Linked DNA regions of Elephas maximus indicus. The protein of the gene in region 1 interacts with the protein of each later gene in a pairwise test. Links are inferred from orthologs where the notes say so. Each region holds a gene or a part of one and is shown on either strand. Other genes may lie near its edges.

Region 1 (10,152 bases):
AAGCTGCACTGAAAGCACTGGTGAAAATCAAGGCTCCAGGAATTGATAGCTTATCAGTTGAGGGTTCAACAAATGGATACAGCGCCTGACCAAAGAAGAAATGATGTATTTGAATCATGGTGTATTCAATATTGAAAATACCATGTTGTATTCAATATTCTTTGATATCACCATAATTCAAAGACATCACAGATATGGAACTCTTCCGTTCGGTTGGCCAGACAGCTGTCCACCAACTTTCTTGGCATAGAGGAGTGTGCACCTCCAGTGCTGCATTTGTTTGCTGAAACATCTCAATTGGTATTTTGCTGATTCCTGGAGCTGTGTTTTTCACCAATTCCTTCAGTGCAGCTTGGACTTCTTCCTTCAGTACCATTCGGTTCTTGATCTTATGCTGCCTCCTGAAATGGTTGAAGATCTAACAATTCTTTTTGGTATAGTGACTCTGTGTAGTCCTTCCATCTTCTTTTGATGCTTCCTGCGTCGTTTAATATTTTCCCTGTAGAATCCTTCAGTATTGCAACTCAAGGCTTGAATTTTTTCTTCAGTTCTTTCAGCTTGGAAAATGCTGAGTGTGTTCTTCCCTTTTGGTTTTCTAATTCCAGGTCTTTGCACATTTCATTATAATGTTTTACTTTGTCTTCTTAAGCCACCCTTTGAAATCTTCTGTTTGGCTCTTTTAATTTATCATTTCTTCCATTCACTTTCACTGCTCTACATTCAAGAGCAAGTTTCAGAGTCTCTTCTGACATCCATTTTGGTCTTTTCTTTCTTTCCTGTCTTTTTAATGACCTTTTGCTTTCTTCATGTATGATGTCCTTGACGTCATCCCACAATTTATCTGGTGTTTGGTTGTTAGTGTTCAATGTGTCAAATCTATTCTTGAGATGGCTCTAAACTCAAGTGGGATATACTCAAGGTCATACTCTGGCTCTTGTGGACTTGTTTTAATTTTCTTCAGCTTCAGTGTGAACTTGTATATGAGCAATTGATGGTCTGTCCTGCAGTCAGCCTTGTTCTGACTGATGATATTGAGCTTTTCCGTCGTCTCTTTCCAGAGATGTGGTGCATTTAATTCCTGTGTTTTCCATTTGGCGAGGTCCATGCGTATAGCCTCAGTTTATATTGCTGAAAAAAGGTATTTGCAGTGAGTATAAGTTGCTGTTCTTACAAAATTTCTATCATGTGACCTCCTGCATCGTTTCTATCACCAAGGCCATATTTTCCAACTACAGATCCTCCTTCTTTGTTTTCAACTTTTGCATTCCAATCACCAGTCACTATTAATGCATCTTGATTGCAGGTTTGATCAATTTCAGACTGCAGAAGTTGGAAAATCTTCCATTTCCTCTTCTTTGGCATTAGTGGTTGGTATGTAAATTTGAAAAACAATTGTATTAGTCTTCCTTTTAGGCATACAGATATTATCCTATCACTGGCAGTGTTGTGCTTCAGGATAGATCTTAAAATGTTCTTTCCGACGATGACTGTGACACCGTTCCTTTTCAATTTGTCATTTCCAACACAGTAAACCATATAATTGTCTGATTCAAAATGGTCAATACCCATCCCTTTTAGCTCAGTAATGCCTAGAATATCGATCTTTTTATGTTCCATTTCATTTTTGACTATTTCTGATTTTCCTAGATTCATACTTTGTACATTACATGTTCTGATTATTAACATATATTTGCAGCTGTTCTCATTCTGAGTCATGTCACCTCATTAAATGAAGGTCCTGAGAGCTTTACTCCATCCATGCCATTAAGGTTGACTCTAGGCAGCTCTTAACCCAGTCGTATTATGAGTGCCTTTCAACCTGTGGAGCTCATCTTCTGGCACTATATCAGACAATATTCTACTGCCATTCATAAGGTTGGAGCTCTGGTGGCACAGTGGTTAAGAGCACTGCTGCTAACCAAAATGCTGCTAACCAGTTTGAGCCCACCAGCTGCTCCTTGGAAATCTTATGAGGCAGTTCTCCGCAGTCCTATAGGGTCACTATGAGTCAGAATTGACTTGATGGTAATGGGTTTAGTTTTTGGTTTTGGATTCATAAGGTTTTCACTGGCCAATTTTTTTTATAAGAAGACTTCCAGGTCTTTCTTTCTAATCTGTCTTGTCTGGAAGCTCTGGTGTCAAGATATCAAACAATATATTTCATTGGGGAAATCTGTTGCAAAAGACCTCTTTAAAGTTTTGAAAAGCAAAGATATCACTTTGAGGACTAAGGTATTCCTGACCCAAACCATGGTATTTTCAATCACCTCTTATACACGTGAAAGCTGGACAACGAATAAAAAAGACCGAAGAATTGATGCCCTTAAATTACAGTGTTGGGGAATATTGAGTATACCATGGACTGCCAGAAGAATAAACAAGTCTGTCTTGAAAGAAGTACAGCCAGTGTGCTCCTTGGAAGAAAGAATGGTGAGACTTCTTCTTACATACTTTGTATGTGTTGTCAGGAGGGACCAGTCACTGGAGAAGGATATCATGCTCAGCAAGGTAGAGTGTCAGGAAAAAAGAAGACCTTCAAGGAGATGGACTGACACAGTGGTTACAACAATGGGCTCAAACATAGCAATGACTGTGAGGATGGTGAAGGACCAGGTAGTATTTCGTTCTGTTGTACGTAAGGTTGCTATGAGTCAGAATTGACTCAATGGCACCTAACAACAACAACATAAAAAAATAATGGAATATAAGAAACTAATGACAGGGGCTGTGAAGGGGGCTTGATAGATGAAGAAGAACCCTTCATGTTCACTCTACACCTCTTTATCCTTTTTGGTTTTTAAGTCATGTGAACATATTACAGTGAAATTCGATGGGACTGCCTTGTTTTTCAGAGTCTTACACATTTTTTGCTTTGAGAGGGTGCAGTCTTACCATTTTTCTAATATTCCTTTTAGTGGAAAATTTTGAGTTTTCCTTCTCTGACAGGTTTCTGCCTTACATAGGTTACTGTTTTTACAGGTTTTACTATATCTGTCCAAGCAAAAATACATATAAAAATACATATATAAATGTAAAAAGATAATTTTTATCTTTAAGGATAATACAAAGCCATTAAAAAATTTTAAGGAGTGGCACCTTAGATTTGGCTTTTAAAAAACACGCCCTAGGCTGCAATATGGAGAATGAATTGGAAGAGGTCAGAGTGGATGCTGATAAGGTGGTTAAGAGGCCAGTGGAAACTGCAATGAGATACCATTTTACACCTAATAGAATGCCGACAATAAAAAGTACTGGCAAGGATGTGGAGAAATTGAAACCCTCCTATGTTGCTGGTGGGAAAGTAAAATGGTGCAGTCTCTTTGGAAAACAGTCTGGCCATCTTCAAAAAGTTAAATGGAGAGTTATCATATGATTCATCGATTTCACTCCTAGGTGTGTATACCTAATAGAATTGAAAATGTATGTCCACCTGAAAACTTGTACAAGAGTATTCATAGCAGCAATGTTCGTAATAACTCAAAAATGGAAAAAAAACTCAAGTATTTGTCAACAAATGAATGGATAAACAAAATGTGGTATATTCATACGATGGGATATTATTTGGGATAAAAATGAATGATGTTCTGATGTATGCTTTGATATGGATGAACCTTGAGAACAGGCCAAGTGAAATAAGCCAGACACAAAAGGCCACATATTATATGATTCCATTTATAGGGAATGTCTAGACTAGGCAAATTCAGAGACAGAACTTTGATTAGAGATTGCTTAGAGATGGGGCGGGGACAATGTGGGGGAGAAATGGAGATTAACTGCTAATGTGTGTAGAATTTCTTTTAGGGGGGATGAAAATGTTCTAAAATTAGATAATGGCCATGGTTGCACAACCATCTAAATATACTAAAAACCATTGTATCTACACTTTAAATAGGTGAGTTGTATGGTATGTGAATTATATTTCAATAAAGCTGCTTTAAAAAAAGCAGTAAGTGAAATATTTAATTTCTAAAAGGCATCATGCCCATATGGATACATCAATAATTTCTTTCAAATTCAATAATCTTCTAAGAAAAAGATCATGAATAGATAAATTGCCCTCAGCTTTAAGAAAATATGGAAAACGTTCCATTTCAAGTATTTAGCACAACCCTGATATAAAAATCTGTCAGAATGTATTACGGTTATGTAAGATATTATCATTAGGGGAAAGGGTATATGGGAATGCTGGGTAGTATTGCACTTTTCATGAGTCTAAAATTATTTCAAAATAACAAACCAGTTGCCATGAAGTAGATTCTGATATATGGCAACCCCATTTGTATCAGAGCAGAGCTGTGCTCCACAGGGTTTTCAATTGCTGATTATTCAGAAGTAGACTGCCAGGCCTTTCTTCTGAGGTGCTTCTGGGCGAACTCAAATGGTTTGCTCCACCCAGGGACTCCATTTCAAGATAAAAAGTTTTAAAAAATCCATCAAAGGCTCTGGTTCAAGATGATAAACTCAGCATAACATTTATCTTCTTCTTGTTTGTTGTATCCCACAAATTTTGGATGTAGTATTTTCATTATGATAGTAATTTCCATTATGGTTTTGACTCATGAGTTATTTGGAAGGCTTTTTTTCCCCTTAATTTCCAGATGTATGTTTTTATTTATATTTTGTATTGGTGTCAAAGAACATATGTATTATACAATTCTTTAAAATTTGAATTATATCAGCTGAGACTTGTATGACTTAGAATGTGATCAATTTTTATAAATGTTCTAGGTATGTTTAAGAAAAAGCAGTGTTCCTCGAATTTTGAGTGCATGGTTCTACACATGTTCCTTAAATCAACCTTGTAAACTGGGTTGTTAAAAAAAGGGGGGGGGGGAAGCATTGCAGCAATCCAGGCGAGAGTGGAGTGATTCCAGATTTATTCAGCAGACAAAATGGACATGTTCTCATGTTGGATGGGGGTGAGGGAGGGGAGATGGAGAAACAGACCTCAAGGATGATTCCCTTGGCTTCTGGTTTATGCAATTCGAGAGTTGGAGCTGTACAATTGAGATGGGGAATCCTGGGAAAGATTAGGAAATCTTTATGTATCCCTCAATAATGTTTCTTAGCCCCCTATGGATGACCGGAGGAAGCTGGCAATGTTAAGGGTTTGGGGCTGGGACTGGGCCTGGGACTCAGCAGCTTTCCCTAGAGCTCTGTATATATCTGTATCACAACAGTTACCATGGTGTAGTCGCAATACACGGTATTGCATCCACTAGATTGTGGGCTCGGAAGATGGCCTGAGTACTTCTGCATCTCCAGGACTTTGCCCAGGGCGTGGCTCCGCCCTTTCCCCCATTCCGTTTCTCCTAGGTCCGCACCCACGGGATTTCCCGCCCTTTGGACTGGCCTCGCCTTAAAGGACCTCGCTCCGCCCCTAGAGGTAGCATTTCCTCCAACCTAGTAGGGATGAGGTGATTGACGAGAGTATTCTCCAGTCCTAACGCTGAATGACCACTTATTACCAATTAGACGGTAGCAGAGGCGGGTACCAAAGCATGAAGTAGAGGTGACCAGGAAGTGGGAGCTGAGGTTGGAAGGAAGGACGAAACCAGGTCCAGGTGGTGGTGTAAAGGTAATGGGGTATCTGGATCCCCCAACTCCCTCCTTTCCCCATCCTTTAAGCCCGAGGTTACTTCGTCCTTTCCCCATCCCTAGGTCAGGGGTATATCGCCGCTGGGAGCTAAGATCGCCATTTCCTCTTTTTTTTTTTTTAACGGGGAAGAGGATGTGTCTACATATTTAAACGTTTAAGGATCTGTCTTGAGCTCCCTTCTTCGCTTCTCCTTCTCTTAACCTGGGGTGAAAGTCCTGCCCCCACCTCCTTTCCTGGGGAGCGGTAAAGTTGTTTGAGATCCTTCCTTATCCAGTGCGATGGGATGGTTAAAGCCCTCCGACTCTGTCTGAGGAAGGGGAGGGTGAGTGACGGGAACTGCGAGCTTCAAGGACTCTGCCCTGCTTGTGAGGGGTTAGAGACCTCCATCTGTGGCGGAGGTAGCGGAAGGTGGAGGGGCAATGGGAGAGAGGTTCCTGTGGTTAGGGTACTAGGAATAGAATAGGTGTTCAGGGCGAAAAACGAGTGGAAGAAAACGTTTCTTAGGGGTCCTGGTAGTTGAAAGTACAGTGGGCGAGGCCACTGTGGGGCGGCAAGCGTTGAGGGTGGTCGCGGGTTCTAAAATCTCCTTCCCACCTCGGGGGCCGTCAGCTTTTTGCCTCATTTGTTTCTCCTCAGGCTTAGGGAAACACCTGAACAATGTGGAATCCCAATGCCGGTAGGTGTTTGCTAGATCTCTTCTCTCCTCCCCACCGCCTTTTCAGATGGGCCCCATTCCAGGAAGTTTCTGTGTCAGTTTTTCCCAGATTCTCCCCTCCCCAAAAGCAAAGTCCTTAGACTACAAAGTTCATTTGCTTTTGTCTCTGCTCAGCTCTTCCAGGTTCGTTTTTTTTCTCCCTGACTCAGGCTTCTCTCCCCACCCTTCTTTTCTCCGTTCTCGCCTTTCCATTTCCTTTAAGTGTTGTGTGCCATGGAGGCGATTCTGACTCAGCGACCCCATGTGACAAAGTAGAGCAGTCCCATAGGGTTTTATTGGCTGTAATCTTTATGGTTAATCTTTATGAAAACAGATCTCCAGGTCTTTCTCTCCCTGAGCCGCTGGGTGGATTCAAACCACCAACCTTTTGGTTAGCAGCTGAGCATTTAACCATTGTGCCACCAGGGCTCCTTTCCTTTTTAAGTACAGGGTGAGAAACTGAATCTGCTACTCTTTGTTGTTGTTGTTATCAGAGATTCTGGGTAGTTTCTAACCTTAATTTTTTCTCTACTTCTTCCACCAGGGCAGCCAGGGCCAAATCCATGTCGCCCTAACCCTGGATGTCCCAACCCTGTCTATCCACATCCTGCCAATCCTGCCTTTCCTCCAGGTCCCTTTCCCACACCCCCAGGAGTTCCCCAGGGGAATCCAGCTTTCCCCCCATGTGGGCCCCCTCAACCTGTGCCACAACCAGGGTATCCAGGATGCCAACCCCCAAAACCCTGCCCACCTCCTGGCCCCTGCCCTCCTCCATACCCACCATCTGCCCCTGGAGTGCCTCCAATGAATCCCTTGGCTCCTGGCATGGTAGGACCAGGAATAGTGATGGACAAGAAGATGCAGAAGAAAATGAAGAAAGCTCATAAAAAGATGCACAAACACCACAAGCATGGCAAGGTCAGTGTTCCTCTGGAGTCTGGGTAGAGAGGGCCTGCTCCCTCAGAAAGATTATGCAGGCTGGGGTTGGTTGAGGGGGATTCTCAGTCTTATGCCATAGGGGATGGTGATCGTGGTGCTTTGGTAGATAGTTCTTCCTTTTTGTGAAGGATTCCCACTGAAATCCTGAGAAGAAATATTAGCTTATTGGACCTATCAGGGTCTAGGCTGAGCCTAAGAATAGATAGCTGAATCAAAAGCCCTTCTTGTCTGGTGTTCCCTCTCCCAAAGCTTTTGTCCCCTTTGCCTCCCCCTCCAGAAGCCTGTTTTAACAAGTTGGACACATCCACTGAGTTTGTCAAAATGCTGATTAATAGGGTCAGCCCTTGGACAAAGCAAAGTCCTTTATAATGATTAACAGAATAATAATCTAGCCCTAATTCCTGGAGCTCCTTTGTCTCCTTTGGTGTTTTCAAGGTGTATTGTTAATTAACTAGGCCTTTTGTCCTACCATTCATCAGGGATACTGAGGACAAGGACAGGTGAAAGACTTAGCCTCAAACAAAGCCAGGAACTAAGAGGGTTTCATACTTAGTTTTCACCAAACCAAACCTATTGCTGTCGAGTTGATTCCAACTCATAGCGCCCCTATAGGACAGAGTAGAACTGCCTCGTAGAGTTTCCGGGGAGCTGCTGGCAGATTCTCAAACTGCCGACCTTTTGGTTAGCAGTTGAGCTCTTAACCACTGTGCCACTAGGGCTGCTATCTGTTCTAGCAGTGTTAATTAGCAAGGGTAAGACCAGCTCACAGGACAACTCCAGAAGGGTTAAGCTTACCTGGATCTTGAAGAGGCCTTAATTTGCATCTTAAGGCCCATGTTGTTAGATGCTATCTAGTTGATTTCAGCTCATAGCGACCCCATGTGACAGAGCAGAACTGCCCCATAGGTTTTTCTAGGCTATAATCTTTACAGGAGCAGATTGCCAGATCCTTCTCCTGTGTAGCAGCTGGGTGGGTTCAAACCGCCAACCTTTCTTTCAGCAGCTTAGGGCATAACGGTCTCCACCAGGGCTCCTTCTTAAGGCCTATGTTGGTGTGCCTTTGAGTGGACTCCGACTCATAGCGACCCTATAGGACAGAGTAGAACTGTTTTATAGGGTTTCCTAGGCTGTAAATCTTTACAGGAGCAGATCACCAAGTCTTTTCTCCTGAGGAGCCTCTGATGGCTTTGGACCGCTAACCTTTTGGTAAGCAGCTGAGCACTTAACCATTGCACCACCAGGGCTCCTCTTGAAGCCCATAAAAACCAAAAAACCAAACTCGTTGCTATGGAGTTGGCTCTGACTCATAGCGACCCTGTAGGTCAGAGTAGAACTGCCCCATAGGGTTTCCAAGGTTGTAAATCTTTACAGAAGCAGACTGCCATATCTTTCTCCCATGGACTGGCTGGTGCATTCAAATCGCTGATCTTTTGGTTTGCAGCTGAGTGCTTAAACACTGCACCACCAGGACTCCCTCTTAAGGCCCATATTAGGCCTTGAATCCTGACTCTGAGTCTTTGATTAAAATTTGAGGAGAATGAAAGATGAGATTGAACGGGGAAGAAATTACCCTGGAGACTCAGAAACGTTTTTAATGGTAGCCCTGTGGCGCGGTGGTTAAGAGCTATGTCTGTAAACCAGAAGGTTGGCAGTTCAAATCCACCAGCTGCTCCTTGGAAACCCTATGGGGCAGTTCTACTCTGTCCGATAGGGTCACTATGGGTCAGAGTCAATGGCAATGGGTTTGGTTGTTTGGTTTTGGTGGTGCGGTGGTGAAAGCGCTGCTATTAACTAAAAGGTCAGTGGTTCAAACTCACCAGCCACTCCTTGGAGAAAGATATGGCAGTCTGCTTTCTTAAAGATTTACAGCCTTGGGAACCCTCTGGGGCAGTTCTGCTCTGTCCTATAGGGCTGCTGTGAGTCGGAATCCACTGGATGGCAGTGGGTATTGATGGGATTATGCATATAAGGAACCTTGAATGGGACTCCCCTAGCCTTCTCTCCCATCTTCCCCACTTTCTCCCAGTGAGGCTTAGGAAAAAGTAGAGATACATGCACATACAGCTGCGGTTTCTACTCACTTTTCTTAGATTCATAGCCACTAGAAATTTTTTATGCAGTTAATCAATAGGTATTTATAAGGTAGCAGCTGTTTCTAAGTACTGTACTGTTCTAGTGCCTACAATTGATTCCTTGTCTGGGCATTGACTTAGGTAAAGAAAGCTGCATACTTGCTCCAAATGCAATACCTTATATTCTGTGCAATGATTTAGGATGGTTTCATCCATTCCTGTATGCTTATTGCTGAAAGAAGCCCTTGCTTTTGCTGTTGAAGGGACAGTCTGGTTCCCAACTCCTGACTTTCTTGGGGAAGGGGTACCTGGGTGTAGGGGTGGGGCACTAAGGAATGGCCACTGGGATGATCAAGGATCATTTGGATCTGATGCTATCTCCTCTCCCCTTTCCCCTTGCAGCATTCCTCTTCTTCCTCCTCTTCTTCCAGCAGTGACTCTGACTGAATACAGGGCCTGGACCCTTCCCTCAAGTCTCACCAGTTCTGCTCTCCCATCAAGCTTCAGATGCCATGTTGTACTGAGGGAAATTAACCCTTGTGCCTCCCGCCTGAACCTCACCCTGCCACTCAGCCCTAACTGGCTAGGGAAAGTGGGAAAAGGATTGCCATGGGCTAGTAAAGGCCTTCTTGCTTCCCGGATAGAATTTTTAGCTAATAAGTTTAGCAGGGGCGTTGTTTTTTGAAGATGGTGAGCCCTTTGAACTAAATGCTGAAGACAAGTTTAAGATCTGTAAAATGTGATTTTAAAAAAAACTTTATTTTGTAATAGTGGTGGATGGGGGTGTGTTTGGAAATTTGACAATGTAAAAAAAAAATCCTGTAACTTTTTTGTAATGGTGGTATAAT
Region 2 (10,637 bases), on another chromosome or scaffold:
CCACATCTTTCTCCTGAGGAGAAGCTGGTAAGTTCGAACCACTGACCTTTGGGTTATCAGCTGAGCACTTAACCACTGTGCCACTAGGGCCCCATGCATCTTACAAGGTGGGACAATGCTGACAGTTTTACAAGGAAATCACAGAGCCTGACTCTCCCAGAGCCAACTACAAATTCCATTCACAGTATTTCTCACAGTGCTTGAACTCTTACAGCAAAAGTTAAGGGCTTCTACACTTGTGCCTCCTTCTCCCAAAACGCTGCCACTCCCTAGAAGGCTGTGTTGCCACTACAGGGGGAACTCCAGAGAAGAGTTGGCACAGAAAAGAAGGGGAATGTCTTAGGTAAAGAAAAGAAAGCTTTTTTCATTTTGGGTGCTAGTAGGAAACAATTTTGAACTTCAAGATGCGCAGAGAACTTCATTCCTTGGACGGCACAAAGTCTTCCACCCTTGAGTAACACAAAAAAGACCCAGCAATAACTTTATAAGTGTTTTTACCTCATTTAAATGTCTTCATTGCATTAGGGCTCTTTCATTTTGGACTGGACAGTTTGTTGTGCAGGGCTGTTCTGCGCATTGTAGGATATTTGGCAGTAGCACCCACCAACGAGTTGTGACAACCCAAATGTCTCCAGACAGTGCCAAATGTCCCTGTGGGACAAAACTACGCCTGGTTGAGAACTAGTGGTCTGGGCTGATTAGCATGTATATCTTTAGATAAATGTACACACACAGTTGAGTAAATAACAAAAACCAAAAAAACCAAACCCACTGCTGTCAAGTTGATTCTGATTCATAGCAACCCTATAGGACAGAGTAGAACTGCCCCATTGAGTTTCCAAGGAGCGCCTGGGGGATTCGAACTGCCAACCTCACAGTTAGCAGCCGTAGTACTTAACCACAATGCCACCAGGGTACCCAAATAACAAAAAGGTAGTTTCAATTGTTAAAACTAGCTAAATTTGTGTCATTGTCCTCGTAAAGGCCCATAAGTGCAATGGACTTATGACCAAAATTCCAGTCAAACTAATAGTGTTTAAGGGCCAATTACAATCAGAAACTCACATAAAGAGGAGACTTCCAAATTTAACTTATGTTTGCAAAGCCTTTGCTCAAACATCTTCAGTTTGTTTTTCAACTCAGCCAAATACAATTTGAGCAACAAAGCAGATTTCACTTTATTTCCACTGTGTTTCACATACGCCTTGGATGACAGTTTGGATTGTGTTGTGACACATTAGACAAGCCCATTAGAATAATAACACCCTGCGTTTGTGTAGTACTTTTCCGTTTACAAAGCACTTTCACATAGCTTACCTATTCTGATAACAATCTTATGAGACTGACGGGAAAATTAATACAGTATTCCCAGTTTAAAATTGAGGAAGCTGAGGCTCAGAGAGCTCACCTGTTGGCCCAAAGTCATACTGTCATTGGCAGGCCAAGGACCAGGACCCAAGCCTCCTGACCCCTGGTTCTGGCTCCTTCTATACAAATATAACACCTCACGCTTTGAGATTTGAAAGCACAGTCTTTTGAAAGTGTTAATTATTTCATTTAGAAATTAATTCTATGGCTTATTCATCCAGAACTACCTAACATGGTGAAATTGTAAACAAATTAAAAAACAAGATTATGTTTTTGTCAGAAAACTAACTGGCTGACTCATTCAGTGATGTTGAATATCAGGATGCCATTTGGCACAGTCACTTTGCTAATTATAACCACATTTTAACCAATAAAGTGTACTTTTCCAAAAATTGAGTACACACTGTTTTTGATTATGTCAACCTCCAAACTTCAGATCCTTTTTTGAGAGGGTTATACCAATACTCTTTTGAAGTCAACGTGGGCAACCTCAGAACTTCTATTTTTTAAAGTAGATACCTATTTGAATAAATACCTTCCTTACTTGCCTAGAAAATTTCTCCCTTTCCTCTTCTTTTTTTTTTTTTTTAACTTTATGAGTGGTTTATAGAAAGAGAGACAATCAAATGTAAAAAAAAAAAAAAAGTTCCCACCCCACGGATATATGAATTCCATCCTGGCATTCCCAGAATCAGGGAATTTTAAAGAATCAGAAAAGAAACAATGAAAGACAAGCAAAAAGAGAGAGAGATACTATTTAGGTCTCCACATTTGGGAAAACTACACATTATAGCTCCGTGTAGCTTTAGAACGAGGAATTTAAACACGAGTCAGAATGTAGACCATTTTAATCGGCTGTTAATTAGTAGCTTTTCCCTTTAATAACTAGTAGCTACCCACTGCATTATGCTATTCTAGGCCCACCTAGCAATTAATCCAGTTATGTCTGGGTTCCCAGGAACACTTGTGAAGCTTCTGCTCAGTTTTAGAGCAGACCTTTACACAAGCTGTAGTGGAAGATCATAAACATATTTCCTCAGAATCCCAGGGCACTGCACCACCCTACTCCCTAAAGAACACAGGAGAGGCAGTCTACTTCCTGCTCTTGCAGAAACTCAGAGTGGGGCTTGAGGAAAGTCTATTTTCCAAAGCTGAATTCCATGATGCTGAGTTGGGATAAAGGAGACCAGTCCTCTCCTTGGATTTTGTCCTCATCATAGTTTCTCAGCATCAAGGGAGGTAAAGTTACTTTGTGCTTCCCAGTTACTGATTTTTTCCCCTATGGAAAAGCTGAACAGCAATCAAGACAGAACATATGATACTTAGTCAACAGCAAACTGTAAGTATACAGCAAGCACTGTTCTGGCAGTCTCTTCAGTTACCCAGTTGGAGTTTTATAAGAAGAACCAGTTTAGGCAACAGACACAAAGAGCTACACAGCTGCCCTCTGCAGAAGCTGTGTCCCAAGCCATCTCAGGAAAGAAAGGCTATGTTTTAGATCAGTCACCAAGAGGCTCAGATACATAAATTTACAAGCCTCTTGATACTAGGGTCAACACAAGATTGTCAAGTTATACTGTATAAATACACTTCTCTGTAGCAGTTAAGATTCAGAGTCTGGCTAATAAGGGTTCTAGGTTAAGAGTTCAGGCTACTAACCAAAAGGTCAGCAGTTCAAATCCACCAGCTGCTCTTTGGAAACCCTATGGGGCAGTTCTACTCTGTCCTATAGGGTCTCTATGAGTCGGAATCGACTCGACGACAATGGGTTTGGATTTGGCTTTTAAGTAAACCTAAATTATAGGTAAGACCAACATGAGTCACTTGACCTCGCTAGCAATAGATCAAAAGTTTTTAAGAAGCACCTATGCGTATGTGGGAACCCTGGTGGCGTAGTGGTTAAGTGCTACGGCTGCTAACCAAGAGGTCGGCAGTTCAAATCCTCCAGGCGCTCCTTAGAAACTCTACGGGGCAGTTCTACTCTGTCCTATAGGGTCGCTATGAGTCGGAATCGACTCGACGGCAGTGGGTGTGTTAGGTGTATGTGTGGCACAGCAAGCTACCCCTCAACAAACAGATTCATCTATTCTGCTTGAAAATGACTAGCTTTAGGGGTCAATCAGTCAGGCCAAACTTCCCTCTTCTGCTACTTACGTAACTTAGTGAGGCAACCTTCTAACACTTCTGAGCTATAAACATGCAAGGACCACCATCAAACTTCCCTCCAGGGTATGGAATAAATGCTGGATGTAAATGTAAACTCTAAACTCTAAATTTAGGAAGCAGCTCCAACCCCCCCCCCCCCCAAAGAACACAAATGAGGCCCAACCATCAAAGAAATCAAAGACCCCACTCTAAGGAATCAAAATTGATGTCTGAAAAGAACACAGTTTTTGTGGGAAATTAAATTATTAGTAAGCTATAACTTTCATGGGAACAAACCATTTCCTAATACAGAGAGATAAACTTTATAATCTTGAGGCAAACAAATCAGAATATTGGAAGTTGGTGAAGATTTTCTCTGATGCTCTGTGGCTAATTTTTATCTCTATCATTTTCTAAAAATTAAGTGACTCTGCCTTCCATTTCTTTCCCAGAATTCTAGAAACAGACCAGATCACTGAGGCCCAACTGTCCTCATTGTCCAGCAATCCAACTTCCAAGAGTCACTTTACAAATATTCCACAGTATCTGGAATAGGAATCTTTAAAGGGCTGGGCTGAAGCCTAAGACACAGCCTCAATCTATGTGTGCCTGACTCCCCGGCATTTAATTCCTACTCCCAGAGCGGAAGCATTTTAGTGTGAGCAACTGATAATTCAGAATAAACCCTCAAACCTATTTTAAAAGTCCCCTAGCTAGGGCTCTGCGCACTCAGACCAACATGTTGCCACACCCCACATATCCTCAGCACAGATCTGAATTCTTACAGCCCAAATTAACCCTTCTGGGTAGGAATGAGTCACTTGATTTGCAAAAGTTTAGGGCTCCCGGACTTTGCCAAACTGGACACATGCGCTCTCAGGCCTTGGGACAGCAGCGTTTTCTGTGGGGTCAGCATTCTGACAGCAAGCTGCAGCCCCTGCCTCCACGTTGCTGGACCCGTTAAAAGAACTCATTTCGCGCCCACAGCAAGATCTGCAGATGAAAGTTCGGCAGACACACAGAAGTAGCCCGGGGCAGGCAAGTCATGAGTCCCAAGAGTCGCCTTATAGAGTCCTCGGGGTGCCGGGAAAAGGGGACCTGGCTCCTAATGCCAAGCTAGCGAGGGTTGCTTGGTTTGATAACCCCTCGCAGTTCGACCTAGCCGATTGACCTGTGTCTTATCAAGCACTAGGATTTACTCCACGTCCATAAAGCAATGCTGGCAGAGGCAGCGGAGGGAGGGCAGGGTGGTTAAATCCTCCGAGGCGCCACAGAGAGTGCTCCGTGCCGCCCGCCGGACGTCCGCAGACACACCTGCCCGCTGCGTAGTGGATCTTTGTAAGTCGTTGCTAACTTTCCCCGAGTCTCAGACCCTGGAAAATCTAAGGTCATGGACCCCTCCCCAAAGGCGGTGCCCACCGGACCGCACAGGCTGGCAGAGCAAGGTGCGTCCCGCCGTCCGTGCCCAGGCCGCCGCGGTCGCCCAGGCTTGGGCCGAGCGCTCCAGAGAGGGGCCGCGCCCCTTCCCGGCCCGAGCCGGCCTGACAGGCACCCGCACCCCGCGCCCCCTCCGCTCACCCCGCCTCGGAGTCCGCTGGCTGCCTCGCTCGCTCCCGGGGCTCCTGGCCGGGCTGCGGCTCCACGCCTCAAATAGGCCGGCCCTGCCCCGCCTCGCCCGGGGCGGGGCGCCGGCCCTGCGCGCCCTGCCTCTCCCTGGGCACCAGGCTGGGCGAGGCCCGAACCCCTTCCGGGACCCGGGCGGCCGCCCCGCCGGTGCAAAAGACTCAGTCCTGTGAGGGAGTGGGGGCCGGCCAGTGGGACCCTGAAGGGCGGCGTCCCCTCGTCCCCCGCCCCAGCAGTCCCGAGATGTGAGTGTGACCACGTTCATTTTCCTCTCTCCAGACTCACTCCCACAGCTTCAAAGAGGATTGGGAGAGCTTACTGAGCTTTTAGTGTGAGCTTGTTGCTTGCTTTATTTAACCTTGTGCATTTTCTGCCTGAATAGCAAGCAGTCTCATCCCTTCTCCACTTCACTTTACTGAAACCACCTGTCAGCATCAAAGCACACTGATTTGAGTTCGATACGGAAATCCCTGTCAGAAAGTTCCTGCCGCGCAAGGTGAACCTGTCCCGCGTTCTAGGCCTTGCGTTCATTCTCCTTTCTGACCTCAGACCCGTAAAACTGTGATGTGGGCACACACGGTCCAGACTGAGCTCCCCGAATTGTTTTTGCTCTTTGCTCCCCAGTACATTCTCAGCGTCTAGTTCAGCCTCTGGGGCTAGAAGGATCTCAGTAAATTTTTGCTTAATGAATGAATGAACAAGCGAATGGATGAATCACTTCTTAGCAAGGCTGAATATCTGTTTTCTCAAAGATTGGAGAGAGTTCTGCTGGAAGACATAACAGTTAAATACAAAAATTACCTTTGGTAAAGGCGGAGATAGGACATTGCTATGGTTATATGAAAGGAGCCCTGGTGGCGCAGTGGTTAAAGCGCTGAGCTGCTTACCAGATCGGTGGTTGGAACCCACCAGCTGCTCCCACAGGAGAAAGATGTGGCAGTCTGCTTCCACTAAGATTTACAGCCTGGGAAACCCGTGGGGTCGTTCTGCTCTGTCCTGTAGGGTGGCTATGACTTGTATCCTACTCAATGGTAACCAGTTTAGTTTTGGTCTTTTCCTATGGCTGGCTGTATGAAAGGTTGTTAGAGTAAATGGCTATGCTTGCAAAGAGAGGTGGTATTTGTTTAGTAGCATTTAACTGGGTAATAACCAAGTAAAATGGTTAAGGATGTCAAGGTGGATTTTTTAAAAGTTCAGATAATAATCATAATAGCTAATATTCATTGAGCACTTATGTGCCTTGCATTACACTTAGTAGTGCTTTACGTACACATATGAAAAAAAATATGAGGTAGGTATTATTTTCATACCCATTTTACAGATGACACAACTGAGGCACAGAGTATTAGGTAAGACCAAGATCACAACATACATCAAGTTGAAAGTATATCAGACAAAAACCAAACCAAACCTGCTGCCATCCAGTTGATTCCAACTCATGCCAACCCCAATGTGTTCCAGAGTAGAACCGCTCCATAGGGTTTTCTTGACTATAATCTTTATGGAAGCATATTGCCAGGCCTTTCTTGCACTGATTAGCAGCTGATCATAAACCACTTATACCACCCAGGCTCCTTGAAAGTGTGTCAGGGTCTAAGAAATAAGCCTTTGGAAATGGAATATTCGCTACTCAACAGACTGAGGTAAAAAAAAAAAAAAAAAAGAAAATACTCATCATCACTACAACAAAAAATGCCAACAACAATCCACCAAAAGTTAATAGATTTAGTAGGAGCTGAGAAAGTCATTCAGCAATGGAAAGAATATTTGACCACAAGGTAGAATTATCTTTGAGATGAGGAAGGAGCAGGGTTGCCCTTTTGACCCCTTTGTCTCTCGTACTTTCTGTGTGATGTTTCAATTCCAGATAACACAGTCTCCTATCTCAAACTGGGATTCCGAGTCTGGCTGATAGCATATGTGAGAAAGCCTCTGGATCTGTTTGATCTGACATGTCTGGGAGCTTTTGGATCTTTGGCTAGACAAGGAAGGGCTTTTGGTGCAACGGAATGGAGTAAGGACAAAGAATCAAGAGGAGATGACATAACAATCTCAGTCCTACATGCCTCGTTTGCTGGGTTGGTGTCCCAGGGAGAAAGGATGGGGCCAGAAACTGATGGTGCTGTCTTTATAGAAGCTTTTTTTTTTTTTGAGAGAAGCTGCATCAGGGCCCAGGTGACAAAATACAGCCCTCAGGTGTGGGGCAGCTGTTCTTCCCCTTCTCCACATAGCCCAGGACTGCACTGGCTGTCAACAAATTTCTAGAGCTGCCTCCTGGGGCAGACATTTGTGTTCTCGCTCTGGAAGGCCTCTGGAAGTGCCAATGTGAAACTCCTTCATGTAGGTAGTGGACATCACCCAAGGGGCAGGAGAGCAGGAGAGCAGGGACACAGCAGATGTCCCTGGTTTGTTAGCACTAGCGAGAGTGCTCTTAGGCCAGTGGGGTGGGGGCTGCACTGAGCAGGAGAGGAGCTATGGGAGGGGTCCTGCTCATGCAAAAACAAGACTATGGGAAGCTTATAGCCTCTGGCCTGGCTAGAACTGGCCTACTGGTGGTTGTGATGTAACTTTGTGCTATAGCTATGCATGTCCTGCTTTGGGCAATGGATTCACTCAGTAAACCAAAATGGAAGTGTAATACAATCTCACTGATAGAACGTGATTGAAGGGTAGAGATTAATGAAAAGTCTGACTTAAAATGTACAAAACATAATCATTTTGTTACTCTAAAAATAATAAGGTAAATTAATATTTTTAAAAAGTGATTCACAGTGGGCTGCAATGTTCCTATGAACTTAGAAATTATGCTAGCTGACCTGAGTAACCTGGTTACTTGGGATCTTATGATGTTAGAGAACAAAGTATACATGATATATAAAGCTGTATTGCAAATGGTTAACATGCTCAGCTGCTAACCAAAAGGTTGGAGGTTCGAGTCCACTCAGAGACACCTTGGATTTCTTCCTGGTGATCTACTTCTGAAAAATCCATCATCAAAAGTGCTATGGAGTACAGTTCTACTCTGAAACACATGGAGCTTCCATGAGTCAGAATTGACTAGACAGCAACTGGTTTTGTTTTTTTGGCACTAAGGGAAAATTAGAGAAGGAAGCAAACATTTTAATTTAGAGTTTAACTCTGACCTTCCTTCCTGTTGCTGTCCCCCTTACTCACTCCACCTTGGCCACACCAGCCCTCTAGGCTGTTTATCTAGTACACCAGGCACAACGCACACTCCTGTCTTAGCATCTTGCACTGGCTGTCCCCTTTATCAGGAACTCTCTTCTCCTGTTGTTTCCTAACTCTCTCACCTACTTCAAGTCTTTGCTCAAATATCACGTTCTCCATGAGGTCTACTCTTTCCACCCCTTATAAAACTGCAGCAGGCACCTCCACCCAGTTGGACTTTACCCCTCCCTGTGGCTGAACAGTACTTCACTGTACTTACTTAGGACGTTTATTGTTTTTTTTTATTGGTTTCCCACCTGCCTCTGCTTTTACTTCCTCTCCTGAGGGCAAAACTCTTTGCTGAATTGTTTACTGATGAATCCAAGGTACATACAGCAGGCTCGCAATAAATATTTGTTAGGACATTTATGGTGTGAGCACTGGAGGAAAATCCTGTGGGTTGTTCACTTTTATTATTTTCAATACTCTTCCCTCTACTTATCTATTTGATGCCCTTTAAAAATGATCAAAATTTGAAAGAGTGAAAAATTCAATTAATAGGTGGTTTTGTTGGGAGCCCTGGTGGAACAGTGGTTAAGAGCTTGGCTGCTAACCAAAATGTTGATGGTTCTAATCCATCAGCCACTCCCTGGAAGCCCTGTGGGGCAGTTCTGCTGTGTCCTATATGGTTGCTTGCTATGAGTCGGAATTGACTTGACGCCAACGGGTTTTGGGTTTTTTTTTGTTTGCAAAAAAAAAAAAAATCCTACCTTCTCAATATCCATTTCCTGAAGAATTGACTAAAAATTTACCACTTTTTTTGGATAAATAGACCTAGTCTCAAAGCAATTCCATTAGGAAGCAATTATTAATCAACTCTTTAATATATTTTACACAGGACATTCAAGTTACTCCATATATACTCTGCTTTTAACCTCACCGTATTATTTTGTACGAGGAAATAGATAAGTTTTTTTTTTTTTTTTACTGTCAGGGAAAGTGATTTACTTATCAAAGTTAATCAATGCCTAGGGAGACAGCCCAGAGGTCCAAAGTTTCACAACTGGTCCAGGAAAACACTGAGCAAAAAATTCTGGTAGGGATTGGTTTATGTCACCCACGGAGAAAACCAGGTATAACCTGATTGCTAAATAATGCATGTGCTACCTAAAGCAACCAAATAATTCATACATTGTGTACAAATAGTTTCATCCTGTTGTCCACCATAGGAGAGAAATGTCTACGTGAAGGACTCACTAGGTGGAATTGTGAAGATGTCTTGGCACCCTCTAGGATAAATTTGTAAGTGCCTTAATGGCCGGTACTTTATTTTTCATCAATGTCCTCTCTGTAGCTTACTTGGTTTAGAGGCTTGCACAGAAATCACTGTGTGCATTGAGGATTAATTATGAAAATACAACATCTTCTCTGAACAGGTTGCCTGGCAACCAATTTACTTGAATGGATCAGCAGCCGTAGTAAAAGGTATTAAAAAGGAATTGCCCACAGGAATGCCCTTTGTCTCTTAGGAAAATGCTGTAAACCTTAAGACTTTGAGTCATGAGGTCACATGGCCAGTCGTGGCACCACTACCATTAGAGGGTTAGCCACAAGTAATAGGAAAAAAGGGACAGTAAATGGGTTGCTAGGGAGACAAGGGATGAGTCACCCTCTTGCCTTTCCTTTTTGGTAATCTGTAGCCGTTTCAGGGATAGATAAAGCCTGTGTCCTGTGTGATCAAACTTTCTTTTTGCTTCACTTCCACCCTTGCACATCCCCATGCACTTTTTGGTACCAAATTCATGCCCTTTAAAGCTAAATAAAAGGATGTTGCTGTGATCAGGGTTGCCTGGGAATTTATAATTTGTACACAAGCAGTAAATTACTCATTGGTACCTAACCCCAAGCCTATATAAGCTCTTCCAAGATAAGTGTAAATGCAATCTAAGAGAATTGATAAAAATATTATTGAGTAACTTCTATGCACACATCACTGTGCTACTTGAAATAAGGGACAAGCTCAGCCTTAGCCTTCAAGCAAGAGAATGACTTGTTTTTATAGGAGACTGATAAATAAGCAAGAACCCTAGAAGAGACCTCTCATCAGAAGGGGAAAGAAGAATTTAGGGGAAGCTGTGGCAGGTGGAAAAAGGTCCAGCAGGTGTCCAAGTGAGGAAGACTTCAGATAGAGAAAGCCAGGAGGGAGGAGGAGATGAAGATGGCAGGAAAAAGGGAAAGTCTCCAAGGGTGAGTGTCTTAGCCATCTAATGCTGCTGTAACAGAAACACCTCAAGTGAATGGCTTCAACAAACAGAAGTTTATTCTCTCACAAT
Region 3 (10,443 bases), on another chromosome or scaffold:
CTCTAGAAATCAGATATAAATTTGAAGGACAATGATTTACTGCTACTGGAGATATTCAAAACCATATGCAATGTATTCTAAAAGCCAACAAGAAGCTCCAAAAATGTTTGGAATGTTTAGTTTCCCTAAGAGAATATTCTGAAGGGAAAAACACTCAGGTAGATATATAACTCTGCATAGTTCTCTAAAAAGAAAAATAGTCACTGTATGACTCAAATATAAAAAATATTAAAGATACTGATAATAACAGCACTGAAGGCTAGATGGAAGGCTTCATAGAAAAAGTTGAATTTTGAACAGACATTTAAAAACAGGTAAGACTTAAAGAGTAAAGAAAGGAAGAGAAAGTATTCCAGAAAGGAGAACTACTATGAGGATATACATCAAAGTGGAAAAGAAAAGAAACTACTCAGGAAATAAAGACAGTGGTCAACTGAAACTATGTGGTGGGTACAATGAGAAATAAAGTTAGAAAGCTAGGGAGCCATCCTACCTAAGGATTCAAATACCAGATGAATAAACAAGAGGGTATGGAGATTAACAATCAGAGAAAGGAAGACCAGGTAAGAGGTAATTATAGCCACTATGCAGGTGAAAGTCAAAGCAGTCTGGAGAAGAAATTAAGCTTGGTTTTGTAACAGTTTAGTTGGAGCTGGGAATCTTTGGGTGGTGCAAACAGTTAAGCACTTAGTTGCTACCCGAAAGGTTGGCAGTTCGAACCTACCCACAGGCACCTGGGAAGGCTTCCAAAAGGTCATAAACATGAAAACTCTATACAGCAAAGTTCTACTCCATAACACGTGTGGTCACCATGGGTCAGAATCGACTTTATAGCAACTGATAGCTGGAGCTGACAGTAATAGGGCTCAAGTATAAAAGTTCACTAGACAATTAAAAATGTAAAACTGGAGCTGAGAAGAAATGGCTGGAGTTTTAAATTTAGTAGTCATTTGGGTGAAGGTAAAAACTGAATAGCAAAGAGAATAGGGAACTAGAGGCAATTTTGGGGAACACCCACATTTAGAGGATGAAATAAAGAAGTAGAAGTTAGCAAAGGTGATAAAAAGGATCAAAGTATTCCTTGATGAGACAAATTTTTCTGTTAAAATTATATAGATTTATTTGGGAAATAATTTTCCTCTCTCTGTTTCCTGACACGTAGCTCAACATCAGATCTTTCATACCAATTTAACACCAGTCTTCGAAGTTGTCAAAAAATACACTGCAGCTTAATTTTAAATTAACAAAAATGTATCCTACTGAATGAAACTCAAGACTTACGATTACCTTCCAAACAAAGCTGAATAAAATTTCTGCAAGCTTTAGGGGCTTCTTTTGACCATAATTCTATGTCAATATCTCCAGCTGTAGTTTTCATTAAAACCTGTAGAAAGAATATTACATTGTTATATTAAATTATCATTTTACTTAATCATCAGCTGAATGGCTGTTCAACTTGTAGCATTCACTAGTGGATTTTAAAATAAAATTAGAAACTTTGCTTGGCTTTTGTTGTAATTCTCAACAAAATTTCAAATATTCACTGCGGCTCATTGTAAAAGTTTCCCGTTGCATCACTTCTCGTAAAACTGGTGTAGCAAATTAAGAAAAGTCAGCAATGAAATTGTGATACTTTAAGACAATTTTACAATGATCTTTTTACATATAAACACCCTACTTGCTCATTTAAAATCACACTATTCCTAAATTACTAATATCCTTAATTTAATTCTAGGTTTAGTACTTACTAAAATGGTATGTCTTAAAAATCTCCACCTATATTAAATATAATCATTTGATAGAAAAAAAAAATTTATATTTTATTTTTTTCTATCAGCTCATAGACAGTTACTCCCTAGAAGAACTAGCTGTGCTGCAATAATCAAAACCCCTGTAAGCTGAGGAACAGCTTATAGCTGTCATTAATAACCAAAAAGATTAGCCTCAAAATTTGAATACTGTAGCACAGCTGGAGCCCAGTTTCTCCAGTATCACTTTTTTATTTTTTCCCCCAGTGTCTCCAAGTAGATCAGTGTCAATAAATGTCATTTAGAATATTCTTACAAATAAAGATTATCCAATGTAACTTTTTTTTTTAATGAGGCTATTTTCACGGGTAGTTAATGTCATGGACATAAACCGCACTCTTTATGTCCAAAACTCATTTACCTGACTTCCACAAATATACTTTTTTTGGAACTGGAAGCAAGCTTTAAAATCATTCAAATAAGACCCCACCTTTTACAGATGGGAAACCTGGTGGTGTAGTGGTTAAGTGCTATCTATGGCTGCTAACCAAAAGGTCGGCAGTTCCAACCCACCAAGTGCTCCTTGGAAACTCTACAGGCAGTTCTACTGTTGCTATGAGTCAGAATCAACTCATCATTAAAGGATTTGGTTTGTTTTTTTTAACAGATGGGAAACCCTGGTGGTGTAGTAGTTAAGAGCTATGGCTGCTAACCAAAAGACTGGCAGTTTGAATCCACCAGGCGCTCCCTGGAAACTCTATGGGGCAGTTCCACTTTGTCCTGTCAGGTCGCTCGCTGTGAGTCAGAATTAACTCGAGGGCAACAGGTTCGATTGCTTTTTTTTTACAGATAGCTCAGAGAGATTGTAAATTGTCACAAATCAGAGAGTTTGTTAATGACAAAACGGGAATAGCACCTGGCTCTCCTCCCTCTCAAAAGTCCTGGTGGTGCAGTGATTAAAATACTCAGCTGCTAATCCAAAGGCCAGAGGCTTGAACTCACCAGCTTCTCTGAGGGAAAAAGATGTGGCAGTCTGCTTCCGTAAAGATTACAGCCTTGGAATCCCTATGGGGCAGCTCTACTCTGCCCTTACAGGATAATGAGTTGGAATTGACTTGACGGCAATGGGTTTGGTTTTTTGGTTTTCTCCGCCCTCCCGGGGCAGTGCCTTTACTATAACACATTGCCTTTGAATTTCTTTTTCAGAAGCCTAGATACACTGCAGTAAGTTATATAACATTGGTGAAATCATTGTACCTTTGGGGGCTTTTACTAGCTACATAGCTCTCTTCTTCAACAACCATGGGGTGGGGGGAGTGAAAATATCTATGTTGTGGTAGCTTCTAAAATGGTTTCCTTAACCCTAAAAAAATACAAAAGAACTAGAAATGCAACACGTACAATTTTCTCAGTCCACTAAACTTCCTTTACAAAAAGAAGGGGACATTTGTTAAATGTCCTCCATGTGTCAGCTTCTATGTCAAACACTTTACATATTTTATCTCATTTAATCCTCATGTACAAGGTATCATTACTCCCATTTTACTTATCCCATTTAACCCTCACGTACAAGGTATCATTACTCTCATTTTGCTTATAAGAAACACTCACATAAAGTAACTTATCTGAGTTACTTTACACAGTGAATGACTTGAGCCCAGTGCTACCTGGCCCTGCCATGTATCTCAAGGGAAATCTCTGGATTACTCTGGACACAACTGATTTCAATACGGATCACTGCCTAAGTCAAAGGCGACAATATATTGTCTGGATATGAGCAAGGCCTTTTAACTTGGCATAGTATGAAACAATGCCCAAAAAAGACACTCCAAACCAAACCTACTGGATTCTCAGTCTCCCAGAAAGCATACTATTAGAACGCAAATTGATAGGCTGGGTAACTCCCTCCACCTTGGACTGTATCTATAACTACACTGTGCAACACCTGATTTTCCATGGACCTGATGTACATCCCAGTATACCTAAAAAAAAAAAAAAAAAAAAAAGCAGCAGCCTGTCCTTCTTCATTATCCCCATGTATACTTGAAATAAAGGAGTCCTGGTGGCACAAAGAGTTAAGTGCTAGGGTGCCAACTGAAAGGCTGGCGGTTTAAACTCACCCACTGGCTTCGTAGAGAAAGACCTGATGATCTGCTTCCATAAAGATTACAGCCAAGAAAAAGCTATGGGGTGGTTCTACTCTGTCACATGGGGTCACTATGAGTCAGAATCGATTCTATGGAACCTAACAACAACAAACTTGAAATAAAACACTGTTGTTAAAGGGAACCTAGACATGTCTTCTCTTCCTTGTAACCCTGAATCAATGATCTCCAATTATAATTGCTTATATGTTATTTTGAACATACAAAACATGACATTTAAAAAATTAAAGGAGAAAATAAATACAAATAAAAGTGTGAAGATTTTCTTCCCATACTCCATGGGTGGTTTTGCACACCCCCTGAAGTGTGCAATGACCAGTTTATGAACCATTGATGTTGGCGAAGAATACTGAATATATCATCCACTGCCAGAAGAGTAAACAAATTTGTCTTGGAAGAAGTACAGCCAGAATGCTCCTTACTTTGGACATGTTATCAGGAGGGACAAGCCTCTGGAGAAGGACATGATGCTTGATAAACTCAGTGAAAAAGAGGAAGACCTCAATGTTATGGACTAATACAGTGGCTGCAACAATGGGCTCAAACATACCAACAATTGTGAGGATGGCAAACGGCCGGGCAAAATTTGTGCTGTTACATATAAGGTTGCCAGGAGTCGGAGCTGACTGGAGGGCACCTAACAACAACAACTATTAAAAAAACTGATGAGGTTAAGGAGGGGCAGGGAATGCTGAGATGCTGGGCATGATGAATGAGGTTTGCTATTTCATAGCAGGTTCTATATGAAAGACCTCTCTGCTCAGTTGACATCTTAGCAGGAAAAAGGGCATACCAGGGAGAGTATCAGCACATGTGAAAGCCCTGCCTGGCAGGCTGGGCAATCTATCCAGTCTTCTACCAGTGTTTATCAACTGGGAGTGATATTATCTCCAAGAAACATTTGGAAATATGAGGGGGGAGGTATTTTGGGTTTTCACGATGATGTGTGTGGGGGAGAGGGAACAAATGCTAATGCCCAGGAGATGTTCAAAAAACAAAGAATTTAAAGAATTATTCTGCCCAAAAGACCCACTACAACTTTTGCTGGAGATAGCTGCTACAGTATTTTTGTTTTTGTTGTTTTCATATTGCCCTTGTTACATTACCAAATGTCCCTCAATAGAATACTGGATAATTTAGGATACAGTCATACAACAGAATTTTAACTTCAGCAAATTTAGTTTATCCTAATTCACCTATATACTTCCAGTCACACTATTTTCTCCATTATGCTGGTTCATCAAATTTCGTGTGTGATATAAACTAGCTCTCAGTTCAAGAATTCAGGTGACATTTATTCCACTGCTGATTCCTCTGCCCCACTTTGCATTCAAACACCCTGGGCAGGAATTGACACACCTTAACCACCAAATCTATCAGGAAATCATTCTCCCATTCAAATGTGAGAACATTCCCCATTCCCCACTCTCTCTAACTAAAAATCACCTCATGTTTTAAGACCAGCTAAGATACCCTCTCCATGAAGCTTTTCCGAACTTTCTCAGTTCCTCACCTCCTCAGTACTACCATAGCTATACACCCCTCTCTCCACAGCCCACAAACCAAACGTATCATAAGATTTTTCTGTACTATGCCTGTCTCCCAAACTAAACAATAAGCTCTTCCAGGGCAACGACTAGGCCTTACCCACCCATCTTTGGAGCCCCAGAGAATAATGCAGGCGCTCGTTGGAAACTCTATAGGGCAGTTCTACTCTGTCCTATAGGGTCGCTATGAGTCGAATTCGACTCGACGGCAGTGGAGTTTTTTGGTGCCCAGCAGAATTCAATAAATGATTCTAGAACGAATGGTGAAAGAGAGATCCCCAAATTAAGCAAAGAATATGTCAAATTTTAAAATGCACTTTTAAAAGCCTAAGGCCCTAAAAAATACCGGCATGAGTTGAGTTGAGAGCAGGAAATAATAAGGCTTGAGGGTTGGAAGATGGAGTAATCTCCACCTGAAGACTCTCATGTATATGTTGAGCAATGCCAGCCTACGGTTTTCGGCGCAATCATGTTCGGAGACAGAGAGAAATACACCACTGGTCTCTCCCAACGGTAAGACCCCAAACTCTCCTAACTGAGGAGGTTACCCTTCGCGGAGCCCAGGGACCCTAGGTGAGGCTCTCACCTTCCCGTTTGTGGGAGGCTCCTGGATGTAGATGTTGCTCATCCTGGTCGGTGTTCAGGAATCTGCTCCTTATTAGGAAGAAGAGCTGACGGACGGCCACTAGAGCTGTCCGCCTATCAGTACACGCTTCCTTATGTTGGGTGGTCGCAGAAAGCTCCGGTCAGTTGAAGTCCTGCAAAACTGCAACACCAAACACTATTCTTTCCCAAAACTAACGCCTCACGGACGCCGCCATGTTGCTCCCGGACTCCAGCACCGCCAACGCTGAGAAGGGGTTTCCAATGTCTTCCAGGTAATGAGAAAAGAGTCTCAACCTTCTTACTTAAATGTAATTTCTACCAAAATATTTAAAGGAACTATATACAAATCTTGTTGGTGTTGACTTTCACTACAGGAGAATGCAGGTCATACCCATCCCCCGAAGCTGGCAGTAATGGTTCGGTCCATGTGTGTTCAGCCATATGACTCGCAAGGAAACTGCATGGACGGCTGCTTGGTTCCGCTATATCCAGAGGTTTATAGGGCCTTCCGAGGCTAAGTAGTGGAGGTTTCGCGGCGCCGGTGGAAGAGGCCGCTTTGGCTGTGCGTTGTCCTCGCGGCCGGTGGGAAGCGAGCGCGCCCTTAGAAGGCAAGGGCTCCAGCGACCTCTCTTGCCAGCGCCATGGCAGTCCCAGGTGAAGAGCGACGGCGGGGCTCCTGGGTCCCGGAGGGCAAGGGAATGGGTAGAGTGGGATGTAGTGGGCTGTGGACTAGAGTATAGTGCCCAAGGCGATTTAGACGGAGACGTTAAAATTGACTGCAGGTAGTTTGGTTTACTGGGAAGTTTTGATTCCAAAAATAAACTGATGAGAAAGAAACTATCTCATCCACCTCTAACCAAGCCCCGGCTGCTCTAGGATTACGGGGCACGCTTAAAGGAGGAAAAAAGGAAGCCAGAGGCAGTAGGCAGTGTCTGTAGGCCTAAGGGGGTGGGTGGCCGAGAAAAATTGACCTGCCCCCCTTTTTTTTTTTTTTTTTGGTATGGCTGAAAAAAAAATTTTTTTTTTTTTTTTTAAGTGGGCAGCACTTGGCGAACCCAAGTAGCGAGAGGCATTGTTCGTAGTGGAAATCGCCGGGATGAAACAGGCCACTGGGGTTCTAGGTCCAACTTTTCCTTTTGTATGATGTCCTTGTGGTGTGGCCGTGGACCAGTCGCTTTGCCCTTCTTGGCCTCAATTTCCAAATCTGTAAAAGAAGGAACTTTGTTGCTTATGTCTAAGGTTCCTTCCAACACTTAGATTCTGTGTCCATAAAGAATTACTGTCATGTGCCGTCGAGTAGATTCCAACCCACAGTGGCCCTGTAGGACAGGTTAGAACTATCCCATAATGTTTCCTAAGCTTAAATCTTTATGGGAGCAGATCGCCAGGTCTTTTCTCCCACGGAGCAGCTGGTGGGTTCCAATCGAGTAACCACTGCTCCACCTGGGTTACTGACCTAAAAACGGTGAACCCTGCAGATTTAGTGCACCAGAGAATTAGTCCTCCACAACTATCACCTTACTCTTAAATTCTAGTAGGGGAAAGCATCTCCTTAAGTTTTGTGACAATGTGTTTCTTGGAACACTGGTTGCAGGAGATGTTTTGAGACAAAGTTCACACTGTACCCCTTCTCAGTCTGGAAATTCACAGTAAACTTTAGTATAGAAAAAATTCTGAGAAGTGCTAAGTTTCAGAAGCCCTAGTTTTGTTTAAACCTGCCTTCCCAATATTATTTGACCTTGTTCTTTGACCTGTGGCAGCCTTTTCAGAAATGTATTTTGCCTATAGCTGTTAAGAAGTTTGTGCTTTATTACCTTGTACAGCTTTAAGTGGAACACGTAAGGCGCTGTGAGAGAAGAAAGTACAACTCACTTATACACATAACAAATGTTCATTGAGTGCCTACGTGTGCCAGGCACTGTGCTATACACACTGGGATACAGTGATGAGCAAGATAGACATGTCCCTCTAAACACAGAACTTAAAATCTAGCTGTGAAGAGAAAAAAAAGTACCAGAAAGTGGAGCAAATGCTATGGCAGGGGGAGCACATAGTAAGGGCACCTAATAGGGTACAGGCGGAGCCAGGATGTGCCATTTAGGATGAGACCTAAAGATTGGGAATGGGAAATGCTGTGTAAAGGCTCAGTAAGAGAAAGAAATTAAAGATGTTTACCATGAATGGAACTCAATACAAACAGGAGACAAGTGAGAAATGAACTAGAGGGATAATAACAGTAGCTAATATTCACTAAGCATTACTATGTATCAAATGTGTCAGACACTGTGCCAGGCATCTCATTTAACTTTCAGGACTGTACCATGAGATTAAAAAAAAAAAAAAAAACAGTTGCCATTGAGTGGATTCCTATCAGTGGTGACCCCATGTGGAGCACAGTAGAACTGTGCTTCACAGGGTTTTCAATGGCAGATTTTTTTTTTTTAAGTAGAGCACGAGGCTTTTCTTTTGGAGGTGCCTCTGGGTGTAGTCAAACCTCCAGCCTTTCAGTTAGCAGCTGAGCATATTAACTGCACCACCTGGGAACACCGCACTGTGAGATGTTGTGTGCCATTGGGTCGATTCCAACTCATATGACCCTATAGGATAGAGTAGAACTGCCCCTTAGTGTTTCCATGGAGCGGCTGGTGGATTCAAACTGCCAACCTTTTGTTAGGAGCCTTAGCTCTTAACCACTGAGATCCAGTTGCTGTTGCCGTCGAGAGTCGATTCCAACTCGTAGTGAGTGACCCTATAGGATAGAGTAGAACTGCCCTGTACGCTTTCTAAGGAGCACCTGGTGGACTTGAACTGCCGACCTTTGGTTAGCAGCTGTAGTTTTTAACCGCTATGCCACCAGGGTTTACACCACTGAAATAGGTACTATTTTTCCCATTTTACAGATGAGAAAACTGAGACAGAAATCAAGTAACTTGTCTACTTGTAAGACAGCTAGTAAACGATGGAGCTAGGTCAGTCTGGCACCCCTAGACGCTGTGTTCTTACCATTTTGCTATGCTGTAGTATAACTTGGAGCCCTGGTGGCACAGTAGTTAAGACCTCGGCCGCTAACTGAAAGGTCAGCAGTTTAAATCCACCAGGTGCTCCTTGGAAACCATACAGGGCAGTTCTAATCTGTCCTATAGGGTCACTATGAGTTGAAATCGACACTTTGGCAACAGGTTTGATTTCGTTTATAGTATAACTTATAAAGCATTTCCAGCTTGAAGGGCCTTATAAGCCATGACTAAGAGTTTGGACTTGATTGTAAGGGCAGTTGAAAAGCATTTAAGGGTTTTAAAGCAGATTCACATTTTGGAAGGATTGTTCTGGCTGCACAGGCTGGAGGAGAGCTAATTTGGAGGAAAAGTCACAAATCAGGATAATTTTGTTTAATTGTGATGATACCTGACTAATGTATGGTGTCAGTAGGAATGGAGAAAAGTAGACAGATTGGAGATATATTTTTGGAGGTAGAATCACTACGAATTGGTAATTGATTCAGTATGTGTGTGGCTAAGAGAGGAAATGAGGTTGACCTAGGTTTCACTTAGGCAATTACCCATTGCCATTGAGTGGATTCCAACTCATAGCAACCCTACAGGACAGAGTAGAACTACGTCATAGGGTTTCCAAGGCTATAATCTTTATGGAAGCAGACAAAACATCTTTCTCCCATGGAGTGGCTAGTGGATTCAAACTACCGACCTTTTGGTTAGCAGCTGAACACTCTAACCACTGAGCAACCAGGGCTCCTTAGGCAACTAGGTGGGCCCATTTACTGATACAGGCACCACCTGAGAAGGAGCAGGATTAGGGGGAGGATGGCTTCAGTTTGGGGCATGTTGTGTTGAGGTGTGCTCAGTTGTAAGAATGGAGATATCTAGTGGGCAGGTAGAGAGAAAAGTTGTAGCTTAGGAAACAAACCAGAGTCAGAAATAATGATCTGAGTGTCTTCACACATTTAATAGGAGGTAAGGCCATAAAGACCATAAAGGTGCTTTGGTGATGTAGTGATTAAGAGCTCCGCTGCTCACCAAAAGGTCAGCAGTTCAAATCCACCAGTCGCCCCCTGGAAACCCTTTGGGGCAGTTCTACCCTGTCCTATAGGGTCACTGTGAGTTGGAATCGACTCGATGGCACGTAACAACAACAAGGCTGTGGGAATAGATGACTTTACTCAGGAGAAGTATATAGCGTGTAAAGGGAAGGTCTGTACCTGTAGCTTCAGGAACACAAACATTTAGGGGGCCAGCAGAGAAAGACTGGCCTTCACAGTAGATTACCTAGATGTTTATGATAGGCTGAGTCAGCCCTGGTGCTCTGTGGGAAGACATTTGTTGACAGATTGACACAGCTGCATCCAAAGTTAACCTGATA

The links.
Region 2: the proteins of PRR13 (region 1) and LGALS3 interact in binary tests that used the Homo sapiens proteins (3 or more experiments, as listed by UniProt). The two-hybrid records come from large-scale screens. The link is inferred for Elephas maximus indicus from reciprocal best matches to the Homo sapiens genes PRR13 and LGALS3.
Region 3: the proteins of PRR13 (region 1) and SREK1IP1 interact in binary tests that used the Homo sapiens proteins (3 or more experiments, as listed by UniProt). The link is inferred for Elephas maximus indicus from reciprocal best matches to the Homo sapiens genes PRR13 and SREK1IP1.

Annotation. Positions count from the first base shown.
Region 1 is NC_064822.1:108,940,339-108,950,490, forward strand, and holds the start of PRR13 (proline-rich protein 13), read left to right. Parts: upstream 1-5,480; 5' UTR 5,481-5,578; intron 5,579-5,746; exon of another isoform or gene 5,747-5,921; intron 5,922-6,235; 5' UTR 6,236-6,256; coding exon 6,257-6,275; intron 6,276-6,837; coding exon 6,838-7,211; intron 7,212-9,706; coding exon 9,707-9,751; 3' UTR 9,752-10,152. UniProt on the Homo sapiens protein: Negatively regulates TSP1 expression at the level of transcription. This down-regulation was shown to reduce taxane-induced apoptosis.
Region 2 is NC_064828.1:67,458,452-67,469,088, reverse strand, and holds the start of LGALS3 (galectin-3), read right to left. Parts: upstream 5,177-10,637; 5' UTR 5,092-5,176; intron 1-5,091. UniProt on the Homo sapiens protein: Galactose-specific lectin which binds IgE. May mediate with the alpha-3, beta-1 integrin the stimulation by CSPG4 of endothelial cells migration.
Region 3 is NC_064820.1:69,563,308-69,573,750, reverse strand, and holds the start of SREK1IP1 (protein SREK1IP1), read left to right. Parts: upstream 1-6,257; 5' UTR 6,258-6,338; intron 6,339-6,440; 5' UTR 6,441-6,707; coding exon 6,708-6,720; intron 6,721-10,443. Other genes in the region: spliceosome-associated protein CWC27 homolog, read right to left, coding at 1,288-1,384, 6,047-6,088. UniProt on the Homo sapiens protein: Possible splicing regulator involved in the control of cellular survival.